Linked DNA regions of Saccharomyces cerevisiae S288C. The gene in region 1 interacts genetically with each later gene. Each region holds a gene or a part of one and is shown in the gene's direction. Other genes may lie near its edges.

Region 1 (5,558 bases):
CATAAAATTTTACAAATAGCCTTGCGTCTAAGTTAGCAGAGGACATTCTGTATTCCTGAGGAGTTTCTTTATATTTATTATGTGATCTTGGAGGATTATCATTTTCTTTTCGTTCAATATTTTATCCCCTTCAGTTATTTCCAGTTATCTACATCAAAATGTTTGAATTTTATTTCTTTCTGCCGCTCTCAAATTCACTCTCATTTCTTTTTTCTTTGTTTTTCTTATATTTACTATATATATATATATATATATATATATATAGCCAAAAACAATAACAGACACAGTAATTTAGTATGCGTTTATCTCTTATCTTTCATCCACTGCGACCGAAACGTTTGAATCGAATCTGACTGAGGTTTTTCTTACATTCCCTTGTGTATCAACAGTTTCTGGTATGTCTAATTCAAATTCTTTTCCATTCTTCAGTATTTCTTTTAAATCTGGCTGGGCCTCTCTCATGGAAGATTTACGATTACCAGTTGATTTCTTAGAGCCATCTTCACTACTATCATTGGAATCTATTTTTTCTACTCCTAAATTAGCATCCGCATTCTTTTTCTCTAGATTTGGAACTCTTTCAAATGTAGATAGTTCATTTTGACAGCGGTCACACTGGCATAAGAAGCCCCAGTTAACTCTTAATTCCCTACGCCTCAACCTCACCCCATGTAAGGGATTGACGTACGTAATACGTATTTGTTCCCCCTTCTTTATTGGTTTCCTTGCATGCAACCTCAGTTCCTCATGTTCTTCTACTTGCTCAATATAGGCGTTTGGTTCACAATCATGGTTTATGAAGGAGATCCAATGATATACCTGGCCGTTATATTGATTGATATTGAACGTCCCGATCATGGTCAAAAATTTCTCGAAATCTATTTCTTCAGAAGCTTTTGGAAATGCACCGCAAAATAATTCGTAGCACTTCTCCCAAACAGTCTCGTCATCAATATTCTTCTCAACGCCCTTTTTGGTACCATTATCAGATTCCTCTTCAGTATGTACAGTTGTACCATTCAGTAAACTAAACGTACTGCCGATACCGCTGGCGTCTCTTAATTTAATTCTTTCCCTTTGTGAGATGCTTGCCAATTTTTGCCATTGCTCTTTGACCTCTCCTGTAGTATCCAAAAGCATGGATCCATATATAAGACCAACTGAAAAGGCAGCGGTAAAACAATATTTCTCACAGTAGTTAACAAATCTTTTCCAATTACCAGCATGAAGAATGTCTATTCTATTCGATCTCCATGAGTGGTATAAAAGCTCATGTAACGACGCATGTGCTTTTTTACATTTTTCACTGCACCAAATAGCTTTGCAAACTTCACAATCCAAATAATGGACCATAATTTTGTGCTGGGTCAAATCATATAGCGCCTTACCACATCGAGCACATGCCTTTCCATTAGATATTAAAAAAAGCTTGTCCAGTGGTGGAATATATACGATAGGTTTATTTTCTTTCAGGATGATTTGGCCCTTGGAAAAATCTCTTTTAGCGAAAAGGCCCCTTCCATGTTCGTCATCAATAAATTTCACTTCGACCTTAGCATCAGAATCTAGGGCTTTTGGAAAATGTATTTTATCTTTATATAGAGAAACGGTCTCTAGATCTGTGTCATAAAGATGGTGCTCATTTAGAATTTTTCGAAAACGAGAAGCACTCAATTTCCACGATTGATTTCTTTCCGTAATCCTGTCATAAAGATGCTGAATCGTAGCGTCTTCAGTTCCGGGCTCTTCCTTCCATAACAAAACTACGTCATCACAGATCTCTTCCTCTGTGGGAGTTATCTTTCGAAAATCAGAGCCATTTTCTGTACCATTATGCACTGCAGATTGATCGCTATCGTTTAAGGTTCCTATTTTGATAGTCAATGTCATTTTTGTGCCACTTTTCGTTATTTTGTATCAGTGCACGCTTGGTTATTTACCTATTTAGCTTCTATTGTTATATGGAGAAGTTCCCCATGATTATGATATCAAGAAAGAAAAAGAAAAAGAAAAATAATACGAAAAAAAAAATTACGAAGCTAAAATAAAAAAAATTACGGCAAGGAAAGGGTTTACTGATAAAATTTGTTATCATTCTTGCTAGTCAGTAAGAGCATATCTGCTCAAGTAGACAAGGGAAACTATCGCAGGTGGTCCGGAAAGTACTTGACAATCAAATGCTCGTCTGAAAGCCAATGAGGAAAACTTGTAGACTGTACTAATTTTTCAAGAGAAAGAAAGATACCGTATGTTTGACTATTCTAACGAGATTTATGCTACAAACTCCTCGAGAAGCAAACTGAGGTAGAATTACCCACCCACAGCGCGATAAGTCACATTGGCGCCCTGGACTTGACGAATACTCCTATCAATAGTAAGGCTCGCAAACCGCCCGTCCATATCAAGCCATTAAATTCTGTTATTATCCTTAAAAGTGAAATGCGCACCACAAGCTTGATGGCATTTCCTTCTGCACTTCTCAAATTGATAGCATTGCCTTGCGAGCAGTAGATAATTTAGATAAAGTGTATCTTGCCAGGGCCTTCCCAGGCATTAACTAGATAATGTGTTCTTTTTTAGCTGAACTGTAAAGCGTAAATGTTAACGCTGGATAAGTACCGCGTGTACGGTTGATTGAATGATCTTACTGATAGAGGCCAGGCGGTTGATACTTTGTGCAGATTTCATACCGGCTGTCGCTATTATTACTGATGAATTGGCTCTCTTTTTGTTTAATGGCCCATCCGATCCATATTGCCTTCTTATGACTCAAAATTCTATTGTGTTTGCCGGTACCGGCCTTTAAGCTTTGAAAAAAAAAAAGCATCTGAAAAAAATGGCACTATAAAGAGAGCTAGTGGTAACAACTACATGTTTTCGTTAGAATAAATCACCCTATAAACGCAAAATCAGCTAGAACCTTAGCATACTAAAACATGTTGCAGAGACATTCCTTGAAGTTGGGGAAATTCTCCATCAGAACACTCGCTACTGGTGCCCCATTAGATGCATCCAAACTAAAAATTACTAGAAACCCAAATCCATCCAAGCCAAGACCAAATGAAGAATTAGTGTTCGGCCAGACATTCACCGATCATATGTTGACCATTCCTTGGTCAGCCAAAGAAGGGTGGGGCACTCCACACATCAAGCCTTACGGTAATCTTTCTCTTGACCCATCTGCTTGTGTATTCCATTATGCATTTGAATTATTTGAAGGTTTGAAAGCCTACAGAACTCCTCAAAATACTATCACCATGTTCCGTCCGGATAAGAACATGGCCCGTATGAACAAGTCTGCCGCTAGAATTTGTTTGCCAACTTTCGAATCTGAAGAATTGATCAAACTTACCGGGAAATTGATCGAACAAGATAAACACTTGGTTCCTCAAGGTAATGGTTACTCATTATACATCAGACCAACAATGATTGGTACATCCAAGGGTTTAGGTGTTGGCACTCCCTCCGAGGCTCTTCTTTATGTTATTACTTCTCCAGTCGGTCCTTATTATAAGACTGGTTTCAAAGCCGTACGTCTTGAAGCAACAGACTATGCTACAAGAGCTTGGCCAGGTGGTGTTGGCGACAAAAAATTGGGTGCTAACTATGCCCCATGCATCTTACCTCAACTACAAGCTGCCAAAAGAGGGTACCAACAAAATCTATGGTTGTTCGGCCCAGAAAAGAACATCACTGAGGTTGGTACTATGAACGTGTTCTTCGTTTTCCTCAACAAAGTCACTGGCAAGAAGGAATTGGTTACCGCTCCATTAGATGGTACCATTTTAGAAGGTGTTACCAGAGACTCTGTTTTAACATTGGCTCGTGACAAACTAGATCCTCAAGAATGGGACATCAACGAGCGTTATTACACTATTACTGAAGTCGCCACTAGAGCAAAACAAGGTGAACTATTAGAAGCCTTCGGTTCTGGTACTGCTGCTGTCGTTTCACCTATCAAGGAAATTGGCTGGAACAACGAAGATATTCATGTTCCACTATTGCCTGGTGAACAATGTGGTGCATTGACCAAGCAAGTTGCTCAATGGATTGCTGATATCCAATACGGTAGAGTCAATTATGGTAACTGGTCAAAAACTGTTGCCGACTTGAACTAATGATAATGAAGGTAAACATCCCCTCCCCCCCCAAAAAAAAAAAACGAGAATTCCTCTCAGAGGATCTGTTTTTCTCTCACTTTATTCACATAGATACATACTTTTTTACAATTCCTGTTGAGTTTATTTATTATAAGAAATATTGGATTACTATTATTATTATAGCTTATGCAAGCCATTGTGCGGCTTCTTACGCTTTTTGAAATTGTTGACCTAACAACTTGGCACATTATTGAATTTCATAGAGACTGCTTGTAATTTAGTTGCCAAGGTATCTCGCTGGACTTTACATGTAAAATGAATGCGGCAAGATACCCAAGAGAGTTGATTATGCCAAAAAAAAAAAATCTATAAGGATATCCCTGGTATTTTCTGAAGAATAAATTCTAGCGTAGTTCAGAAGAGGTGCAAGTACAGTATGAATAATGGTATGCCTTCCATCATCGTGGCATACAGGTTCAGGCATGAAGAGATGATTATGTTCCCTCACCGGTCCATAATCCTGATTTAAACAGTTCATTAGTATATGTTCAGCCAACACAACAACGAGAAGCTTTGTAGTGAAAGTTTTCCACGATCTATATTTAGCATTCTAATTAGCGGCCCCAAGGGAACGTATATAAACATAAACAAACGGCACGAACTAAAGGGGCAAATTCAAGTTAACCCTTTTACACTCAGTACATCTTCAAAGCCAGTCTTCTGTCAATGGAAGAATCCAGAATGCCTAAAACTAGTTATTTAAACAAAAATTTTGAATCTGCTCACTATAATAACGTACGTCCCTCTTACCCTTTATCTTTAGTCAATGAGATAATGAAATTTCACAAAGGCACACGCAAAAGTTTGGTTGATATTGGATGTGGCACAGGAAAAGCAACTTTTGTCGTTGAACCCTATTTTAAGGAAGTGATTGGGATTGATCCTTCTTCTGCTATGCTTTCGATTGCTGAGAAAGAAACAAATGAACGTAGATTAGATAAAAAGATTAGATTTATTAATGCGCCTGGTGAAGATTTATCCAGCATTCGACCAGAAAGTGTAGATATGGTTATTTCAGCAGAAGCCATCCATTGGTGCAATTTAGAAAGGCTGTTTCAGCAGGTTTCCTCTATATTACGAAGTGATGGAACTTTTGCATTCTGGTTTTATATTCAGCCGGAATTTGTGGACTTTCCCGAAGCCTTGAATGTATATTACAAATATGGATGGAGCAAGGATTATATGGGTAAATATCTGAACGACAACCAACGGGAAATTTTGTTGAATTACGGTGGTGAAAAGCTACGTTCTTTATTGTCAGATCGATTTGGAGATATTGAAGTCACAATTTACAGTCCTTCGGACCCAAATGCATCAACAGTAACGGCTGAAAACAGTCAGTTTCTCTGGAGAGCAGCTATTACTCTCAATCAATTTAAAGAGTTTGTGAAAAGCTGG
Region 2 (6,745 bases), on another chromosome or scaffold:
TCAAAACACATACCAGTTCCAGATGTTTTCCATCTACTTGATGAACTTCAAATTGACGAAACATCAATTATAATCAATGGAGAGATTTACCCATTTAGAAAAAATGCTTGGAATTATTTAATTGCAAAAGTTATCAAAAAGGACACTGAATTTATTCGTAAAGAATTGAGCAATTCTTCTCCGAAAAACAAACAAATTAGCGTAAGGGACTTATTGCATTACAAATCTGCAAATCTGAGACATAATAAATATACACCAAATTATTTTGCTGATTCGGTATATTCTTCGGTCAACAATACTGCATTGGAAAGCGTATGCTCAGAAAGAATAGGCTACTATACTAAAAATGAAGAATACAATTTATTACACACAATCACATTAGTGGATGATTTTGGCTCTATTCATGCTTTGAAAAGATTGAGAAACTTGTTGCATACTTCCTTTGTTGGTGTTAGGATCAGAATCATTCACGTAGGTGATATTTCTGATATTTGGTATCAATTGCGTGGAAGTCTTTCCCAAAAAGATCCAATAGGCTCAATAAATACATTTATTGATGCTTTGAAACTTAAAAAGGTAAAAAGTCACACGTACAAAAAAAGCGGCTTAAACCAGTTAGGCCTTCATAAATGGCTTCCTGACATTCCATTATTTGAATTGCAAAAGGGTTCATTTATTGCTTTGAACGGTAGATTTATTCATCTTGATCAAAATGAAGTGCCAGAAACAGAACATTTCGAAGCAATCATAAAGAGAGAAGCTCTAAGAACGATCGATTCAGTTTTCGCCCTAGATTTACTTTTTCCAGGTTTCTCACAGGAAATAATCAATCCTGATTTGATAGAAATGATCTCCTCCATTTTAACTAGGTTGTTTTACCAAGGTACACATATATACAATAATGGTATTGATTATACCACTGAAAGTAGCTTACCAAGAATGGATTTGAGCGAGTTTTTTAGACCTAATAATTTAACGATGTTTGAAGATGGAAAATCAGCTTCTATTGATTTACTACTAATTTTAGATCCACTTGAAGAGAGAACGCAAATGATTCTTTCTCTTGTTGAGCAATTCAGGCCTTTGAAATTTGTTAATATTCAGGTAATTTTAATGCCGACACTGGAATTAAACATTGTCCCTATTAGAAGAATATACGTTGATGACGCAGATATTGTCAAATCAATAACTTCTGAGGATAGCAGATCAGATCCAGAAGTAGATATTGAAATGGATGTTCCTAATTCTTTCATTGTAGATAATAATTATCGGATAAAAAAATTGCTCATAGAATTACATTCCTTCTCTAGCAAAACAGTCCTTTCAACTGGCAATATTGATGGTATGGGGGGTGTATGCCTAGCACTTGTCGATTCTGCAGGGAACATTATTGACAAAACTACAACAATGAAAACCTTTGGCTATGGACAATTTCATACCGACAAATTTTTAAAGGGTTGCTATATAAAAAGTTGTGATTCAAGATATACCGTTCAGTCATTTTCTACTGACGGGCATCCCGACTTTATACCATCAGATTCCTTGGATATACTGTCGTACAATCCACAAAAAATCGCTGTAAAAATTTCAGAAGAGCCTACACACGAGGAAGAATACGAGGAAGGTCGCAACAATGATACAATAATCAATATTTTTACTATTTTAGAGTCCGGGCCAGATGAGGAAGAGAGGTACATGCAAATGATTTTATCCATTTTGTCAAAGTGTCCCGAAACGCAAAAGGTGAATTTTTTCATTTTAGATCAGCCGTTTATCTCCGACACTTTAAGGAAATCATGTGAGTATATAAATTCCTCTGATGAAATGAGAGGCAATGTCATTTTTTTGAATTATGAATGGCCTCAATGGTTAAGACCGCAAAGATTTTCTTCAAGGAGAAGGGATGTCTCTAGATTTCTGTTCTTGGATGTCCTTTTACCTCAAAACATCTCCAAAGTGTTATATATGAGTCCAACTGAAGTACCGCTGGATCCTTTTGACATTTTTCAATTTCAAGGCCTCAAACGTGCACCTCTAGGACTATTCCGAATGAGTGGTGATGGTTATTGGAAAGAAGGATACTGGGAAAAAATGTTAAGGGAGAATAATTTAGAATTTTATTCTACCGAACCGGCCTTTTTAGTAAACTTAGAGAGGTTTCGGGAGTTAGATGCTGGTGATAAATACAGGATTCACTATCAACGTATTTCTACAGACGCCATGTCTCTTGTCAATATCGGCCAAGATCTAGTTAACAACCTACAACTCGAGGTTCCGATTAGGTTTCTCAAGGGATCGTATAAGAAGAAATTAGTTATTAATGATGAATGTGTTTCTGAATGGAAGAAAAAAATAAATAAGTTCGCATCCTCTCCTGGCGATGAAGACGTACCTGGAGAAAGTGTTAGCAGCAAATACCAAGATTCCGACAATGCCGCTCCTCTGCATGACGAATTATAACTACTCGCAGGAAGAGTTCATTACGCGACGGTTCCAAGAGCGTGAAAGAATTGCTTCTGCGCATAAGTCTTCTTCCATAATAGATTTTTATATCATTTTTAGAACATAAAATTTCTCGCCAAGAGTTTTTTAAGTAAAAGCAGATTATCCAGTAACATGGGTTCCGCTTTTTGAGCGAATACTATGAACGAGTTTTGCCCGTGCTCCCCATGACTCATTAGATTCTTTGATGACAAAAGATCACTGGCAGAAGTCTGTTTCGCTTCTTTTCTTTTTTTTTTTTTTTTTTTTTTTTTTCGAGCAGATTGCAATCAGCGATGAGACAAAAATGGAAAGTAGGTATGGGCTGACGATTGCCTAAACGGTTATCAATTGGTTACTATAAACGCCTCTATTATATGAATATACCTATTTATTGAATCCCTTCATTAATATTTAAGAAGACAGAGGCTATATATCATCTGGATCAAAAAATGACAGCGCCATTGTGGCCAAACAAGAATGAAAAAAACCACACAGTTAAAAGAGCGTTATCAACGGATATGACCAGCAATATTTTGAGTAGCACAAACGCGAGCTCAAACGAAGAAAATTCTAGGAGTTCTTCTGCAGCCAATGTACGCTCCGGAACAGGTGCAAATACACTTACTAATGGCGGCAGTACTAGAAAGAGACTTGCGTGCACTAATTGTAGAAATAGAAGGAAAAAATGTGATTTAGGATTTCCCTGTGGTAACTGTTCCAGGTTGGAATTGGTTTGTAATGTTAATGACGAGGACTTAAGAAAGAAGCGGTACACTAATAAATATGTCAAGTCTTTGGAGAGCCATATTGCTCAACTGGAGACCAACTTAAAAAACCTAGTTCAGAAGATCTACCCTGACGATGAGCAAATACTGAACCGAATGATGGTAGGTGATGTATTATCAGCTCTACCAGACAGTTCACAAGTCTCAATCAATTATACTGACCAAACTCCCTCTCTTCCAATTCCCGCAACCAGAGGTACATTCATTATTGAAAACGATAAGGTCAGTCAACCTCTATCGTCCTTTAACCAACAAACAGAGCCATCTACTCTAAACTCGGGTATCTTCAACACCCAAAAACAAAATTTCGAAGAATCCCTTGATGATCAGTTACTTTTACGAAGATCGTTAACACCGCAAGGTGAAAAAAAGAAGAAACCGTTGGTAAAAGGTAGTCTTTATCCTGAAGGACCTGTCAGTTACAAACGGAAGCACCCCGTAAAATCGGACAGTTTATTGCCTGTGTCTTCGTTAACAGCTGCTACAGACCCATCTACTTTTTCTGACGGTATAACTGCTGGTAATTCCGTCCTAGTTAATGGTGAACTGAAAAAACGTATATCCGACTTGAAGACCACCGTAATAGTAAGAGGACTAAACGATGATAATCCCAACTCTATCAATAACGATCCCAGGATTTTAAAATCTCTTTCCAATTTCTATAAGTGGCTGTATCCAGGTTATTTTATTTTTGTTCACAGAGAAAGTTTTCTTTATGGATTCTTCAATCACTCCAAGAATAACTATGAAGACTCAAGTTACTGTTCTGTCGAATTGATATATGCCATGTGCGCTGTCGGTTCGAGGCTTACACCGGATCTACAAGAATATTCAGAAGTGTATTATCAACGAAGTAAGAAGACTTTATTACAGCTCGTCTTTGATGAGCAAAGTACAGCCCGTATCACCACCGTCCAAGCGCTATTTTGCTTAGCCTTTTACGAACTGGGGAAGGGTAATAATCAATTAGGGTGGTACTTCTCGGGCCTGGCTATCAGGGTCGGCTACGACATGGGATTTCAACTGGACCCTAAAGTCTGGTACGTTGATGATAACAATCTGCAGCTGACCCAAAGTGAGTTGGAAATAAGATCAAGGATTTACTGGGGTTGCTATATAGCGGATCATTTTATTTGCCTGATGTTGGGTAGAACGTCCACATTAAGCGTTAGTAACTCAACCATGCCAGAGTCGGATGAGCTGCCAGAAGTCAACGGCACCGAAGAGTTCAGATTTATTGGAAGACATGTTTTACAGATATCCTTGCCTCTGAAAAACTTGATAATTCTATCAAGGCTTGTACAAATCTTCACCTCTAAAATTTTCATCGAGTCGGAAGATATAGCACGAAAACTAAAGTACTTGAACACTTTCAATTCTCAGGTTTACAACTGGAGACAATCTCTACCGGAATTTTTGCAATGGTCGAAAACACTCATCGAGAACGATGACGTATCCACAGACCCCACTATATCTTACTTCTGGTATTGCTACTACATAGTGCGGCTCACCTTTAACAAGCCATTTATAGAAGACTCTCAAGAATCCGAAACGGTAGTCATAGAGATCATCGATGATTTGAAGACTTTGCTGGACAATTTCGGGAAAAAATTCGGAAACTACACGAAGGGAAACCTTTACCAACTTTACTCATGCCTGTTGGCCATCAACTGTTTGAAGAAGTTGAAAGAGATACGTTCCAGTGAGCAAGACTCATGGAATGCACAATTGGATTTTTTCAATCACATCTTCTACACACAACTATATCCCGCATATGATCTGCCGAAAAAGCTGCAGGAGGATACGGAGCTGGAAACAGAACAAGAAAACCAGATGTTGAACCAAGTTGGAAATATAAACTACACGCACGATTTTTCACTCTCCCACGAAATTGACGATCTTATCAGAGAACTGTTTGGGGTGGGCACACCTCAAAAACTCTGACGATCTTTATATTTGTCACCTTTTCCGTATCGGCGGCTAAAAGGCGATGCGGTGCACAGGCGCGGGGTCCCTGGGAAAAAGAAATGTTCAAATTAACATTTCTTTTTCTTGTTTTGTGGCTCTTCTAGAAGGATTTTTAATCAGCATAGCCTGCGTTAAAATTTTTTACCGGATCTTATATATCTAAGACATCTACTCTGTTTAAATACTTAACGAACATCATAGAGAATCAACTAATAATATAGATTAGAAAAGAGAATTTTTTTCGACTGCGATGCTAGATAACATGCAATTTCATTCTCCAGCACCGGAACATCCTCAATTGAATGGGGGTATTAACAAAATTCCCGCTTCCCACAAAATAGGTTACAAATTAAACCAGCAAGTGCAGAGATTGGCTGTGGTCAGGAATAATATTGAAGAGAGATTGAACTCGATGGAATCCTCACACGGACAGATATCCGATAGTAGCGTTGTCCGTGCTATCGATGCAAGTATCGATGACTTCCTAATACCTTCACCTCCATTATCGCCAAAGCTGAGGCAATGCCCCATAATAAGCCAGCCTCAGCTGGTTAATGTGGAAAGCGACCATAGGGAGCTGATCATGTTGACCCCCGTTTGGGAAGCGGGCTTGAACTCTCAGAAGTACAACCATAATACAAGGAATTTCTTATCGCAATATAGCTTCTTCCGAGATATGAAAACAACGAAAAGGATTCCTAACAAAGAAAATAGGAAATTGAAAGTGGTAAAATCTGTTGTGAACTCAGAAGCTCTGCCCAAGAGAAGAAGATACGATAGGAAAATTAAGAGAAGATCAAGGGAGTTGTACGAAGATGATGGAAACAGGTCAGAAAACTATGATGAAGAAAGTGCTCAAGAAGTTCCAGTTAGATCAGTGACTCCGATACGTCAAGTTAAAAGGTCTCTTCATACTATTTCTTCGCCATTGGCCTCACAGGGCGTAGTGAATAATGTCCCCAAGTATATTCCAAGCATGTCGTGGGAAAAGTTGCCGGATTACTCACCTCCTCTTCACACTTTGCCGAATAGTAATAATAAAGTTTTAAAAGTGGAATGGAAAGGCTCTCCAATGGACTTGAATCATGATCCTCTCAAACAGCGTCTGCATCCTGCAGAACTAGTTCTCGCACAGATTCTGAGACTTCCATGTGATCTTTATTTGGACTCTAAAAGAAGATTTTTCTTGGAAAAAGTTCATAGATTCAAAAAGGGGTTGCCGTTCAGGAGAACGGATGCTCAAAAGGCTTGTAGAATAGACGTTAATAAAGCATCAAGGCTATTTGCAGCATTTGAAAAGGTAGGTTGGTTACAAGATAAACATTTTGAAAAGTATTTGTAAGAAAGAGGCGGTACGCCTTTGGGATAGCGTATCGTTTCATCGTTTAAACGAGCAAATTTGATAAGTACGGAATATGACAGTCTCATTGAGTAATACAGAATTGAGGCGTTTAAATGGTTATGGTTAAGGGTTACGGTTACGGTTTTTTATTCTTAGAACACATTTG
Region 3 (5,730 bases), on another chromosome or scaffold:
TGGTCATTCCTTTACATATTTGAAAGGCTTGGACGAAGATCAAACTTGCAACCCAAATAGATTGGAGTAAAGCCCATAATAATATCAGAAAGACAAATCTATCATATATTAATCCCGAACAGAGATCTGAAGCGCCTAGGATGAAACATTTGCCATTTTTCTGGGATGTATCTTCGTGTGCATCTTCAAGTTCATCAAAATATTCCAGGCAAAGTGCAAGAAATGTGAAAATACCACTTTCCATTAATGTAATAAAAAATATAAATGCTTTGTGATTTTTGAGTCCGACATCATTAAAGATCCAAGGGCAGTAATGATCAAATCTTGCAACCACAGCATTGTTTAAGGGCGAAAATTTGCTTCTTAGAGGTTTTCTAATCCAAGTTTCGATACAAAAGTTCTTCGTATCAAATTTACCGATTTCGAGCAAGTTCGAGATTGTTTGTCGCACGTTCTCATGATCAGTTTCTTCTGGCAAACATCCTGGGTCCATAATAACAAGCTGCCCAAAAAGGTAAAATACAGAAACAAGTATTACCAGCATTAGGATGTTAGTATATTGTTCATCAGAAAATGTTCGAGGCATAACTTTGAAAAACCAAACGATAGTCACCCAAAGTAAAGTGCCAAAAAAAACACCGGATAACAAAGGTGACCTTAACAAGGTAACGTTGTGGACACCCATTCGTCCATATGACGGCAGAACGAATTTGTTCAAGCCTTTGTTAGTGGCAATGGCCAATAAAAAAAGGACAATGATTACAAACAAAGGGTTAATATGAGAGAAAAGAGCAAATGCGATTCCTAGAAATAGAAATGGCGTTATGAATGTAACGAGCTTAGCATGTTGACTTTTTTTGAACCATTTTTTAATGGGATAACCATGGTAGTCGAATCCAGAATGTGTTAGAGCCTCTCTAAGTGAGTACACAGTGTTCATTTCTTGAGCAATAGCAAAGCAATCTTTTCCGGTATCCGTTTTTTGGAAAAAATCTGCACCATCTTGAATCAAGTATTTTAGTACATGTGGTTGCCCTTTTACAGTGCCCCAGTGCAGTGGGGTGAATCCTTCTGTATCTGCGATCTTTATGCTGGCACCAAATTTCAACAATTCTGCTACAGTTAGGGAATCTCCCTGGTAAGCAGCCCATAGTAGTGAAGTTCTGCCCTTTGGGTCTCGGCAATCTATATCTAAAAGACCTTTGCTGACAACGTTGAATAAAACGTATAGAACTAGCATTATATTTGAGCTGTTCACAGATAAGTGTAGTAGATTGAAACCTTGGTCATCGGTCATGGTGGGATCAGCTCCATGCTTAAGCAAAAAATCGACAATGTACACGTACCCATACCTTGCAGCCCAATGTAATGGTGTGGCATGCAAAGCACCAGCCCTTGCATTGACATCAGCGCCTTGTGAAACTAGAAAATCCACTACAGAAAGTCTGTTATTAATACTTGCCCAATGCAAACCAGTGATATGTTCCGTAGAGTCACCGTCGTTATTAACTTCGAGCAACTTTCCATGTATCATTTCTTTGACAGTCGCTAGATCACCTCTTTGGCAAGCGGTATGGTAGCGAGTTAACAGAGGATCTTCTTCGGCCTCATCATTATGATTCACCTGCTCGTTCCCGCTTTCCTCTTCATTTCCTGATCGGATAGCCTTTAATGATGCCAACGAAGTAATTTCGTTAGAATCACCCAGACTAATATCTTCCTGTGAGTCGTTATTGCTAGGATCAACCGTTTGCTCTTCATTCGTCAAGGTCGACGCCCGTGGCACATTCTCTAATTCGTTCACCATCAATTAGCTACTCTGAACAAAGAAGTGTTTTTTTATCTAGACGAAACGGAAATGATATATTCTACTTCGTGGTTTGTAATCTACTAATCGACCGTATATATTCCTCGCTTGCACTTGTGTCTGTACATTACTTCGTTTTATAGATCGTTCAATATGAGGGTGTAATAAGAAAGTACGAAACAATGGGCTGGCTTTATCACCCGGAGTGTAGGGTACGGATGTTTGTGATCAGAGTAACCCAATGCTAAAAGTCGTTCGGAGGAATAAGCAGCAAAACGTGAATTGATAATATTATAGGAGCCAAAGTTCTAACAATGATAACGTCTCAACAGCTACATGAGCTGTCCATATGTGCATCTTCTTGCAAGTAATCAGCCGGTTTTATCACAATTTTTACCCACCGTGATAATCTGAGAGGGCGAAGTAGGTATTAGCCGTTTACATTAGAAAAATAAGGTAGTGGTAATAAAGCACACTACACATCGAAGAAAGAAACAGACACTACTACATCGGTGGGGGGTCATACAATAGAGGACCAAAATGAAGAATGATAATAAGTTGCAAAAGGAAGCACTTATGCGACTATCGCAGCTAAGATTTCCATTTGCCGATGCTCCAAGTATAGTACAAGCGCATCAAAAAGATGAACAAATCCAGGGCCTTTTGATTATGAAAGTGACTGAATTGTGCAAATTGATAAAGAGTCAATTGTTTGTTAACTCTTACCCTAAGGAACTGTCCATATTTGCCAAGCTCCTGTATTTGCTCTTTACTACAGGAAGACGTGGTAGAACGTTAGGTGAGGAATATGTTGACTTGACATACACTAATAGGAAGGGTACCAGACTTGCAGGACGGCTCAAAATGATTGTATTCGCTTTCGCTTATCCTTTATGTCCATATTTCATCACCAAACTATACAAGAAAATAATGAAGAACAACAAGGAAAGTAAAATTGAAGATACTGAAAGTGTTGCCGCGTTTTGTAAGGGCCTTTTAGATTTCATTTTAGACGTACACATGACCCTCTTTTATTTCAAAGGAGCTTTTTACAGTATTTCCAAAAGGATTTTTGGTATGAGATATGTTTTTAAACATATATTGTCAAAAAATGAGGCCAATTTTAGAGAAGAGGGCTCACAAAAGTACAAAGTATTAGGTTATATCCTATTAGCTCAAAATGTTATGAAATGGTACCCTGTCCTAACCTCTACGCTCGGGTCCTGGATTTATGGGAGAAAAAGGACCAATGATTCAATTACTAGGTCGTCTGTTGGTCTACAGGAGCGTTCAGAACATGAATCTATAGAAGGCATACCGAAGGAATCGCAGCTGACTCATATAAATTTGTCAGATAAAAACCAATTGCCATTTATTCCAGAAGCCTCGAGAAAATGCATCCTATGTCTCATGAACATGAGTGATCCTAGCTGCGCGCCATGTGGACATCTATTTTGTTGGAGTTGTCTTATGAGCTGGTGTAAAGAGAGGCCAGAATGCCCCTTGTGCAGACAACACTGTCAACCACAGGAAATTCTGGTCCTGCGGCAATAGAGGAACTAATCAATAATTTGACTACTCTTTTAGCATTGTCCACAGGCCTTTTTCAGAAATAACGCAGACGTCTGAGCAGGAGAAGTAAAACGCGAAGGGGAAATAATGCTTTTTAGTCTTGTAATTATATTAATTAATTAAATAAGTTTTTCTTTATCGGAATTTTATTTAAGACTTTCATTTCTCTAATGCTATTGTCAGTTACAGGTTAGAAATATATTTCCAACTATACACCAATGTGGAATAACAGCTGCTTTTGTTTGCCTTTCTTTTTATTTCCTCCACTAGTTGTGTTCAATTCCCTCAAATTATCGTGCACGTTAGTATCTTGTGTGCTTGACTTTTTACCCCACTGCTTAGGATCAGCAATTTGGGGTCTGTTCAGACCTGGAATTTGCACCTTTGGCTTTGGTGGAGGTAGTTGAGGTAGGTTGAGACTTTTCAATTTATCTTTGCTATTATTTAGAGAAGTAGAAGAGGAACCCTTTTTACTTTCCAAATAGGTTGGAGAGAAGGCGACTGTATTAGTGGAAGTTCGATAACTAACTGATTGAGGTGTAGTTCTTTTAATGTTTTGCACGGGTCTCAGAGTGTTTTTTTTTACGGTGGTTGCAAAGGGATCATACGACGCTGAAGGACTTTTCAGGGTTGGAAGATTTTTGATATTCCTAACGCCTAATGCTGCACCAGCGCTGCCCCCATCGTTTGTTCCACCCCAATGGCCCCTGCCTATTGACATTGAAAGGGAAGAATCACTAGATAAAGAAGGTAGTGAAGTTTGTCGTGCAAGGGTTTGCTCTCTTTGTTCATATATGGCGTTCAGATTATTGTATTTGGAGGAGTTTTTGGGAAAGGTTTCAGCTAAGTTATGAATCAATAAATATACATCCGCATTTGGTTTTGTGAATAACAATTTATATGATTCCAATAATTTTTCAGCACTTAAGCGACCTTTAGAATAATCTTCGTTATAAGAAGAAAACTTATTGAAGTCTTCTTTGGAATTTTCCAGATAGTATTTTGCTCTTTCTGCCAATCTTAGTCTACTTTCCTCGGGAGAACTAGCAGATCTCACATCAGTTCTAGAGCCGGATGATGAACCCGGTAGGGAAGATATAGATGGAAGGTCGTAATCATCTCTTTCCCTGATCACTCTAGATGGAGCCGAGATAAAAGTAGAAAGTTCTGACTGGAAAAACTTTGGCTTTCCCTTCAGGATATTACCATGCTCCTGCAAAATGTGGGCTTGTAACTCCAACTCGTCTTTAAATACGACAAACTTGTTATCTAAGCAAGTTTGGACGGTGCAAACGTAATGCGAATGTTTAAAGTGGTCAAAAAGCTGATTATAATCCTTAAAGTATTGAGGAGAAGCGGGGTTCATCTTATCACAAATATGGCACTTTTCATGCTGATTTCTCATGTGAATGTACAATTCGTCGTCTGAATAAAATCGTTTTCCGGAACAGAAGGCACACATAGGGTGGCCTTTGAATCCTTCTGAATTACCCTTAGTTTGATGGTTGCGTAATTGATTTTGGGTGAATATTTCAAGCTCACAAGGGAATGCATGCTTATGGGTTGCACATATTAAACAGATCATTCTGTTATGTTCAGATTTCAAGTGTTCATTATATTTCTTGAAACTACCAAAGTCACAAACTTGTTCATCCTTCGATAGGGGACAAAAAAATTTTAAAAGATTTAGTGTTTCGGTAGCAACCTCTTCGCTAGTGAAATTTATTCCATATTTTTCATTTTTTTCGCAAAAGTTATATTTATCTGAAATATCACCATCTATGCGATCGGTAAACATGACTTCTTCATTCTCCGTTCTGCAAATCAAACAGCTTTTCTTGTTGTACAAAGCTCGTTGTCTGAAACCACAGATATGGCATGTCTTATGATGGCATGGTGTTAGAGATACGTATGTTAACTTGCGCGCACAAATTACACATAATTCATTTTCTTCATCAGTATCATCTGCGCTTGAAGTGGTGAGGTTGGGTTCAGCAGAAAGGTTATTTTTCTTTTGCTTTCTTCTGAAATTCTTCCTGTCGTTGTGAGGTTTTGTATTATTTTGGGGCCCTTGAGTACGACGGAAGTTACGTGTCGGAGTAACGTTTTCTTTCACTGATTCGCTCATCCTAATTCTTGAAAAGAAGTATAGCCACTATTTTTTCGACGAAAGAGACTGTATCAAAATGCACTTTATGGATCTTTTTCAGCTAGGTATGCGCTCGACGATTTGTTGAATATGGCTGAGTGGGCAGTCGTTCAGATGCCCTTTTCAAAATCTTAAGAGAAAATCAGAAAATATAGCTATTATTAAGAGTGACCGCGAGTATGAAACTTTCAGTGTAACCTTT
Region 4 (7,085 bases), on another chromosome or scaffold:
CTTAGAGAAAAAATTAGAGGACACAACTCGTGCGGTTTTAGTTAGGAGAAAGGCACTTTCAACTTTGGCTGAATCGCCAATTTTAGTTTCCGAAAAATTGCCCTTCAGAAATTATGATTATGATCGCGTTTTTGGAGCTTGCTGTGAAAATGTCATCGGCTATATGCCAATACCAGTTGGTGTAATTGGTCCATTAATTATTGATGGAACATCTTATCACATACCAATGGCAACCACGGAAGGTTGTTTAGTGGCTTCAGCTATGCGTGGTTGCAAAGCCATCAATGCTGGTGGTGGTGCAACAACTGTTTTAACCAAAGATGGTATGACTAGAGGCCCAGTCGTTCGTTTCCCTACTTTAATAAGATCTGGTGCCTGCAAGATATGGTTAGACTCGGAAGAGGGACAAAATTCAATTAAAAAAGCTTTTAATTCTACATCAAGGTTTGCACGTTTGCAACATATTCAAACCTGTCTAGCAGGCGATTTGCTTTTTATGAGATTTCGGACAACTACCGGTGACGCAATGGGTATGAACATGATATCGAAAGGTGTCGAATACTCTTTGAAACAAATGGTAGAAGAATATGGTTGGGAAGATATGGAAGTTGTCTCCGTATCTGGTAACTATTGTACTGATAAGAAACCTGCCGCAATCAATTGGATTGAAGGTCGTGGTAAAAGTGTCGTAGCTGAAGCTACTATTCCTGGTGATGTCGTAAAAAGTGTTTTAAAGAGCGATGTTTCCGCTTTAGTTGAATTAAATATATCCAAGAACTTGGTTGGATCCGCAATGGCTGGATCTGTTGGTGGTTTCAACGCGCACGCAGCTAATTTGGTCACTGCACTTTTCTTGGCATTAGGCCAAGATCCTGCGCAGAACGTCGAAAGTTCCAACTGTATAACTTTGATGAAGGAAGTTGATGGTGATTTAAGGATCTCTGTTTCCATGCCATCTATTGAAGTTGGTACGATTGGCGGGGGTACTGTTCTGGAGCCTCAGGGCGCCATGCTTGATCTTCTCGGCGTTCGTGGTCCTCACCCCACTGAACCTGGAGCAAATGCTAGGCAATTAGCTAGAATAATCGCGTGTGCTGTCTTGGCTGGTGAACTGTCTCTGTGCTCCGCACTTGCTGCCGGTCACCTGGTACAAAGCCATATGACTCACAACCGTAAAACAAACAAAGCCAATGAACTGCCACAACCAAGTAACAAAGGGCCCCCCTGTAAAACCTCAGCATTATTATAACTCTTGTAGTTTACATGGTGATACTTTATATCTTTGTATTGTCTAGCTATTCTAAATCATCTGCATGTAATAAGAAGTTGATCAAAATGACTCGCTGCGTAAAACCTCTCTTCGATCGGAGGTGCCGCCTAATTTATCGCCTAGCACTGCGCTTTTTCAAAGTTTTTCAGAGCAAAAAATGAAAAGTAATGAGCACAACAATAGAAGAGTATCATGATATATAAGGTCATAAAACTAGGTTTCAGGGGCTATCGGCAATTTGAGGAACCTTCAACCTGCCTCAAGTAAAAATCGCTTCGTAACATTAATACAAATTCTTTTTGCAATTATGGAAGGAAGATCAGATTTTGTGGCGACTTCACAGTCCGGAAGTGAAATGAGCCATAGTGAAACTAGGAATAGAACTGGGATGAATGCTAGGAAAAGGAAATTCGCCTGTGTGGAATGTCGTCAGCAGAAGTCGAAATGTGATGCTCACGAAAGAGCACCGGAGCCATGCACTAAGTGTGCTAAAAAGAATGTCCCATGCATTTTAAAACGAGATTTCAGAAGAACTTATAAAAGAGCAAGGAACGAAGCCATTGAAAAAAGATTCAAGGAACTCACCAGAACTTTGACAAATTTAACTTCGGATGAAATTTTGAAGAAAATTGAAGAGGAACAGGAAATTGTTTTGGATAACAGTAATTTCACAAAAGAAAAAGTAAAACAACTCAGGAAGAGTGCTTTTGAGACGACAGAAATAGAACCGAGATCATACAAAACACTTCGAGGAGAACCTATTTCTTACAGTACCAACAGAAGACATACGGATTCTTCTCCTTTAACGCTCTTAAGCTCGTCGACAAACTTCGACCCTGTTCACTCAACAAACGTTATGACAGATGATCAACTTAAGTGCTTGCCAAAAAGCCTGGGCGACGTATATTTGTCAAGCAGCGATATTGCTGAGCTGTTTCAAGAATTTGCGACAAAATATCATCAATTTTTACCCGTCGTTGACCTTTCGAAAGGAGCAGAGCGAATTTATCACTTATCTCCTTGCTTATTCTGGGTCATCCTGCTCATTGGTTTAAGGCGGAAATTTGGGGCTACAGACTTAATGACTCGATTATCAGTGCTAGTAAAGTCAGTTTTATCAGAAATCACAATATCTCCAATAATTCGATATACTCCATCAGATAAGGACGAACCCGTTCTAAATGTAGCATCTGTATATTCCGTGCAAGCATTTCTTTTATACACGTTCTGGCCTCCCTTAACCTCTTCATTAAGCGCCGACACTTCGTGGAATACCATAGGAACAGCGATGTTCCAAGCGCTTCGGGTAGGACTAAATTGTGCAGGTTTTTCAAAAGAGTATGCTTCGGCAAATTCAGAATTAGTTAACGAGCAAATACGAACTTGGATTTGCTGCAATGTTGTATCTCAAACAGTTGCATCATCATTTGGTTTCCCAGCTTATGTTTCATTTGATTATTTAGTAATCAGCTCTATTAGAGTACCAAATTCAAAAAGCCAAGTAGATATACCCAATGAACTAAGACAAATGGCTCAAATTGCTAGATTTGAGAACCAAATCGTAAACACAATGAACTCCACCCCGGCGAGTGTTACTGGGATGGTAAGTCAGGAAGAGAAGCAGCCCTTGTTACACGTTCTTAATCAACAACTAAGTCAATTGGAGATTAGTCTTGAAGAAAATAACCTAGATGATATCCGAAAATTTTTATTACTAGTGGCCAAGGTTCACTTATTAACCTATTACTTCACTGATGTTACCTCCCAAAGTGCTGGAAAATCAAATGGTAATATTTATGAGGGATCATATTCCATTATGGAACTCGATACAAGTTTTGAAACGAAACGTGGATTGGTGAAAGTTTATAATGCCGCCGTAAACTTTCTTATACATGCCAATAGTATGTGGGAACATGATCCTACCATTATTAAGTACTTTCCTGGTTTGTTTGTCTTGAATATATGGCAATCTGCCTGTATTATTAGTAAACTCATACATTCATCACTTCATTCAATGCTAGATGTTAACTCAGGCAAAAAAGCTTATAACAACGCAATTTCATTGACGTTTAATGCCTCAGTTTTAAAATATGATATGGCGTACAGATCATCCGGAATAATGCGAAGCATATGGAGTTTATTTGCTAATATGTATGATGCCTGGAAAAACGACCAAAAGGAAGGTGGAGGTAGACTAAATAATGATTTCAATTTAGGCATCACCATAAAATCTAGGATGTCAGTAAACGTTTTTTTTGACTGCTTATATATTCTAAAAGAGAAATGTGGTATGGCCAAATTGGAGAGAGAGACCAAGGTTTCTACAGCTTACAATGTTGATGAAGAGGAAGAGGAAGATGAAGATGAGGAGGGAGAAGAAGAAGAAGAAGAAGAAGAACTAAGTAGTAAAGTTCCAGAAAATATGGATAGCCAGCAACTAAGGACAAGGAAATTCACCAATGTAAGGCATCCAGAAAAGAAAGCAAGAAAAATAATTGAAACAATTCCGCTAGACCCAAATCCAATAAATGCAGGCTCTACCAGCAGTGGAAGCTCATTAACGACCCCAAATAGTCAAGTAGCGAACACTATATCATATAGAGGAATCCTCAATAAAATGTCACCTAGGGAACAACTGAATCATGCAAATTTAGATTCCAGTGTTTCTACAGACATCAAGGACACTGAAGCTGTCAATGAACCTCTGCCAATAGGGAGGAATGCTGAACATCCGGCAAATCAACCGCCTCTTTCAATAACACAAATGCAAGAAAACACACTACCTGCGACACAAGCCAACTCTTCTCTATTAGAAACGTATCCCATTGTTCAATCAAACCCCGTTACAACTACAATCAAAGAATCACCCAATTCCATCATGGCAGGTTGGGATAACTGGGAATCTGATATGGTTTGGAGGGATGTTGATATTTTAATGAATGAATTTGCGTTCAATCCCAAGGTTTAAAGTCCTTTTCTTTTTTTGCGTAATGTTTACTTACCCTCGAAAAAATGTTATGTAATGACTGCGGTGCTACAGGAGAGGTAAATGATTTTCTATATACGTTTATATTTCTTCCATTTACGCACACTATTTTTTGTCCTTGAATAATTTAACTCAAAAAAAGTGTAAAAAACTGTGTCATTAGGTATATGTTCAATACTTTTGATCTTCAAATGACGTAAAAAAAAGTTTTCAGACGGACTTAAACCGCCAACCAGCCTTGGCCACAGGTGTATGATGCGAAGATTCGTAAGCGCTCACGTTAGTCACATCTCAGGATTGGAAATTATACTAGATAATAAATGGCTTTATTTAATCATATTATAGTTGATATAACAAATCACACCTCCGCTTAATTTATACGTAATAGTATTTACAGTCCTTATGGGTATCAAGACATATTAGGTTAGGAGAACTAAAGAAAAAAAAAAGGACTGTTTGTGCAATTGTACCTGAAGATGAGTAAGACTCTCAATGAAATTAGCACTTTTCTTGGATTTCTATTAAAGCGCTAGCATCTTTGTATACGTCTGACTGGGTAAATTTTTGAAAGGAATCGTTATTCATCAGTCTATACATTTCATTGCTAACGATCTCGAAGAGGGGATATAATTTCCTGAGGACCTTCAAAGTTGCTGGAAATGATTCAACCGATTTGGTATCATTTTGGGTGTTGTCCATGCCATAACGAACAATTGTATGTGAATTTTCTACTGATGCATTAGGCGAATGCGTTTCTGCCAGAGTTAACGGGGCAGGTTTATATTCCTTTAACTGATGTTTGAATCCTTGCTTCTTAAATGAACAGTTTTCATTTGAAAGATTTTTTGAAGGTTTTAGACTCACTTCAGGTGGTTCACCTAACGTGTCAGCCTCCGTTGAGCTAATTGATGAAGCTGCTGATTCCGCGGATGCAGGTGATGGATCGTATAGATTAGTAGGAAAGTGTTCCGATAATGGAGAATGAGGGTGCAACATGATGTCAGAAATATTCTGACGCAAGTTATGATGGATATTTAATTGATATGGTGATCCTATCATGATATAGGACGAATAAATGTGATATGCCATTTCAAGGCACTCATTGGCCTGTTTCATTAAAGCTGAATCAATCGTTTTTACGATATTGTTTTTTGAAGTACTGGTATTAGATTTTTTATCACAATGCTTAGAATCTATCAATTTTTTCAGAATTGTCATTTTCTTCAAAAACCTCTTAATCTCAATGAAGACATCCAAATTTTCTACACAAAGTTCCTTTTCTAAATGGCGCCTGAATAAATATCTCATACCTGGATCAGTTAGCACATAGTCCAGTTTATTTAAATTACTCGAAGAGATAAGCATGTCTTGAGAAAAACCTTCACTATCATCCAATGTCTTTTTTTCATCACGAACAGTCATATGACCCCTTAATGTGAAATCTAGGTCTATGGTGCTACCATTTGGTGCTCTAATATTATTGCTCTTACAACCTGTCCAAGAAACCAAATCCCAACCACGCTTGGACAAGGTAAAAAAAGAGGACCTGCTAATTTGAAACTTTTTCTTGTCAGTGCGTGATGGTTGTAAAAGAACTGGTACAATCAACCCCGTTTTTAAAAATAACGCTGCCAACGAGACCGCTTCTTTAACATGCATAATATCAGTACAGTCCATTATCCACTGCCATATAGCCTTTGTTGTAAAGGTGTACTTAATCACGATTTTTTTGGAAGTGCCAAACGTCTTATTTTCAAACAACCTAATACCTGCATTCGAAACGTAGTATTGCGTGTGCGACTCAGAATCTGGATTTGTAAAGAATCGATGAGCTAATGGCGATACCCTTTCTAAGTCATTTATATCGATGTTTCCAATCTGAGCTTGCCATCCTTGTTCTGGCTTAGATTTCTCAAAAGTAAATGTATCATCATTATTAGTGTATTCCAACAACGAAGATAGGCAAGGTAATGGGTCATCTGCGTTTGTTGGAGACCAAACATTTGGCTTAGCGCCCATCATTTTAATGAAAAGAATATGGATCAAATAATCACTATGGATGATTGAATCCGTGACAGAGCTTCTCTCAAAAGTGAAAAGTTTCATGGAGTTAAACGATGACAAAAGAATATCAGGCATTGTTTTCAACCCAATATCTCTAACATACTTTTGTAAAACAGCAACTCCCTTAGGTGTTGGTTGGAAAAGAACTTTCTCTTTTGGCTCGCCACGAGTTCTGTCCTGCGGTGTATGTAGTAGCTTAGAAGACATAAATAATGTAAGAAGGTGGCGCGCCAAACTAGGTTTAATATTATATGAAACGTTAATACAAGTTGTGTTCATATCCACTTTTAGTTCCAATTGTCCCATTGCTTTAATAGCTTCCTGATATGTAAAAGTGAAGTGGAAATGTTTAGTGAATGCAGTTAATAAGAAAGACTTAGTGTCACTACTATGTTTTTTCTCTTTCAAATCCAAACAAATTAGAAAAATGGAATATACTGTCTTTAAATCATTGGTAAAGATCAGTCCATTCGGCGTTCTGCTGAAATTTTTGGAAGATAATTCATGCAACGTCCTATTTTTATCCACCATCTTACAACTCTATCTTTAATTACCAAATTGAACCTATAACGCCTCAGATAGTGCGTGCAAAACCTAGAAGGAACGTACGACAGTAACACCTCCAAAGTTAAAGGACGATGAGAAGTAAAGACAGAGCTGGGATTATGATTTCATTCACCGGTATAAATATAACAGGACAGACAACAATTCTAACGCACCAGCAACCAAATCCAAGTCCTAGTCAAAAAAAAAGCAGTATTGGGA

What was found.
Region 2: mutations in BAT1 (region 1) and TEA1 together harm fitness more than expected from each alone (negative genetic interaction), as found in Saccharomyces cerevisiae (2 studies listed by BioGRID).
Region 3: mutations in BAT1 (region 1) and PEX10 together harm fitness less than expected from each alone (positive genetic interaction), as found in Saccharomyces cerevisiae (2 studies listed by BioGRID).
Region 4: mutations in BAT1 (region 1) and LEU3 together harm fitness more than expected from each alone (negative genetic interaction), as found in Saccharomyces cerevisiae (2 studies listed by BioGRID).

Annotation. Positions count from the first base shown.
Region 1 is NC_001140.6:514,596-520,153, forward strand, and holds BAT1 (branched-chain-amino-acid transaminase BAT1), read left to right. Parts: upstream 1-2,936; coding exon 2,937-4,118; downstream 4,119-5,558. Other genes in the region: kinase-regulated stress-responsive transcription factor SKN7, read left to right, coding at 1-5; SET5 (S-adenosylmethionine-dependent methyltransferase), read right to left, coding at 310-1,890; CRG1 (S-adenosylmethionine-dependent methyltransferase), read left to right, coding at 4,842-5,558. UniProt on the Saccharomyces cerevisiae protein: Mitochondrial isozyme of branched-chain-amino-acid aminotransferase, involved in the biosynthesis of the branched chain amino acids (BCAAs) leucine, isoleucine, and valine.
Region 2 is NC_001147.6:951,411-958,155, forward strand, and holds TEA1 (Tea1p), read left to right. Parts: upstream 1-2,933; coding exon 2,934-5,213; downstream 5,214-6,745. Other genes in the region: KRE5 (Kre5p), read left to right, coding at 1-2,460; YOR338W (uncharacterized protein), read left to right, coding at 5,488-6,579. UniProt on the Saccharomyces cerevisiae protein: TY1 element enhancer binding protein. Binds to the DNA sequence 5'-TCGGTGGTATTATTCCGA-3'.
Region 3 is NC_001136.10:996,517-1,002,246, forward strand, and holds PEX10 (ubiquitin-protein ligase peroxin 10), read left to right. Parts: upstream 1-2,347; coding exon 2,348-3,361; downstream 3,362-5,730. Other genes in the region: palmitoyltransferase AKR1, read right to left, coding at 1-1,807; E3 ubiquitin-protein ligase HEL2, read right to left, coding at 3,588-5,507. UniProt on the Saccharomyces cerevisiae protein: E3 ubiquitin-protein ligase component of a retrotranslocation channel required for peroxisome organization by mediating export of the PEX5 receptor from peroxisomes to the cytosol, thereby promoting PEX5 recycling.
Region 4 is NC_001144.5:1,034,516-1,041,600, forward strand, and holds LEU3 (leucine-responsive transcriptional regulator LEU3), read left to right. Parts: upstream 1-1,577; coding exon 1,578-4,238; downstream 4,239-7,085. Other genes in the region: hydroxymethylglutaryl-CoA reductase (NADPH) HMG2, read left to right, coding at 1-1,249; GTPase-activating protein SST2, read right to left, coding at 4,755-6,851. UniProt on the Saccharomyces cerevisiae protein: Factor for control of RNA levels of a group of leucine-specific genes.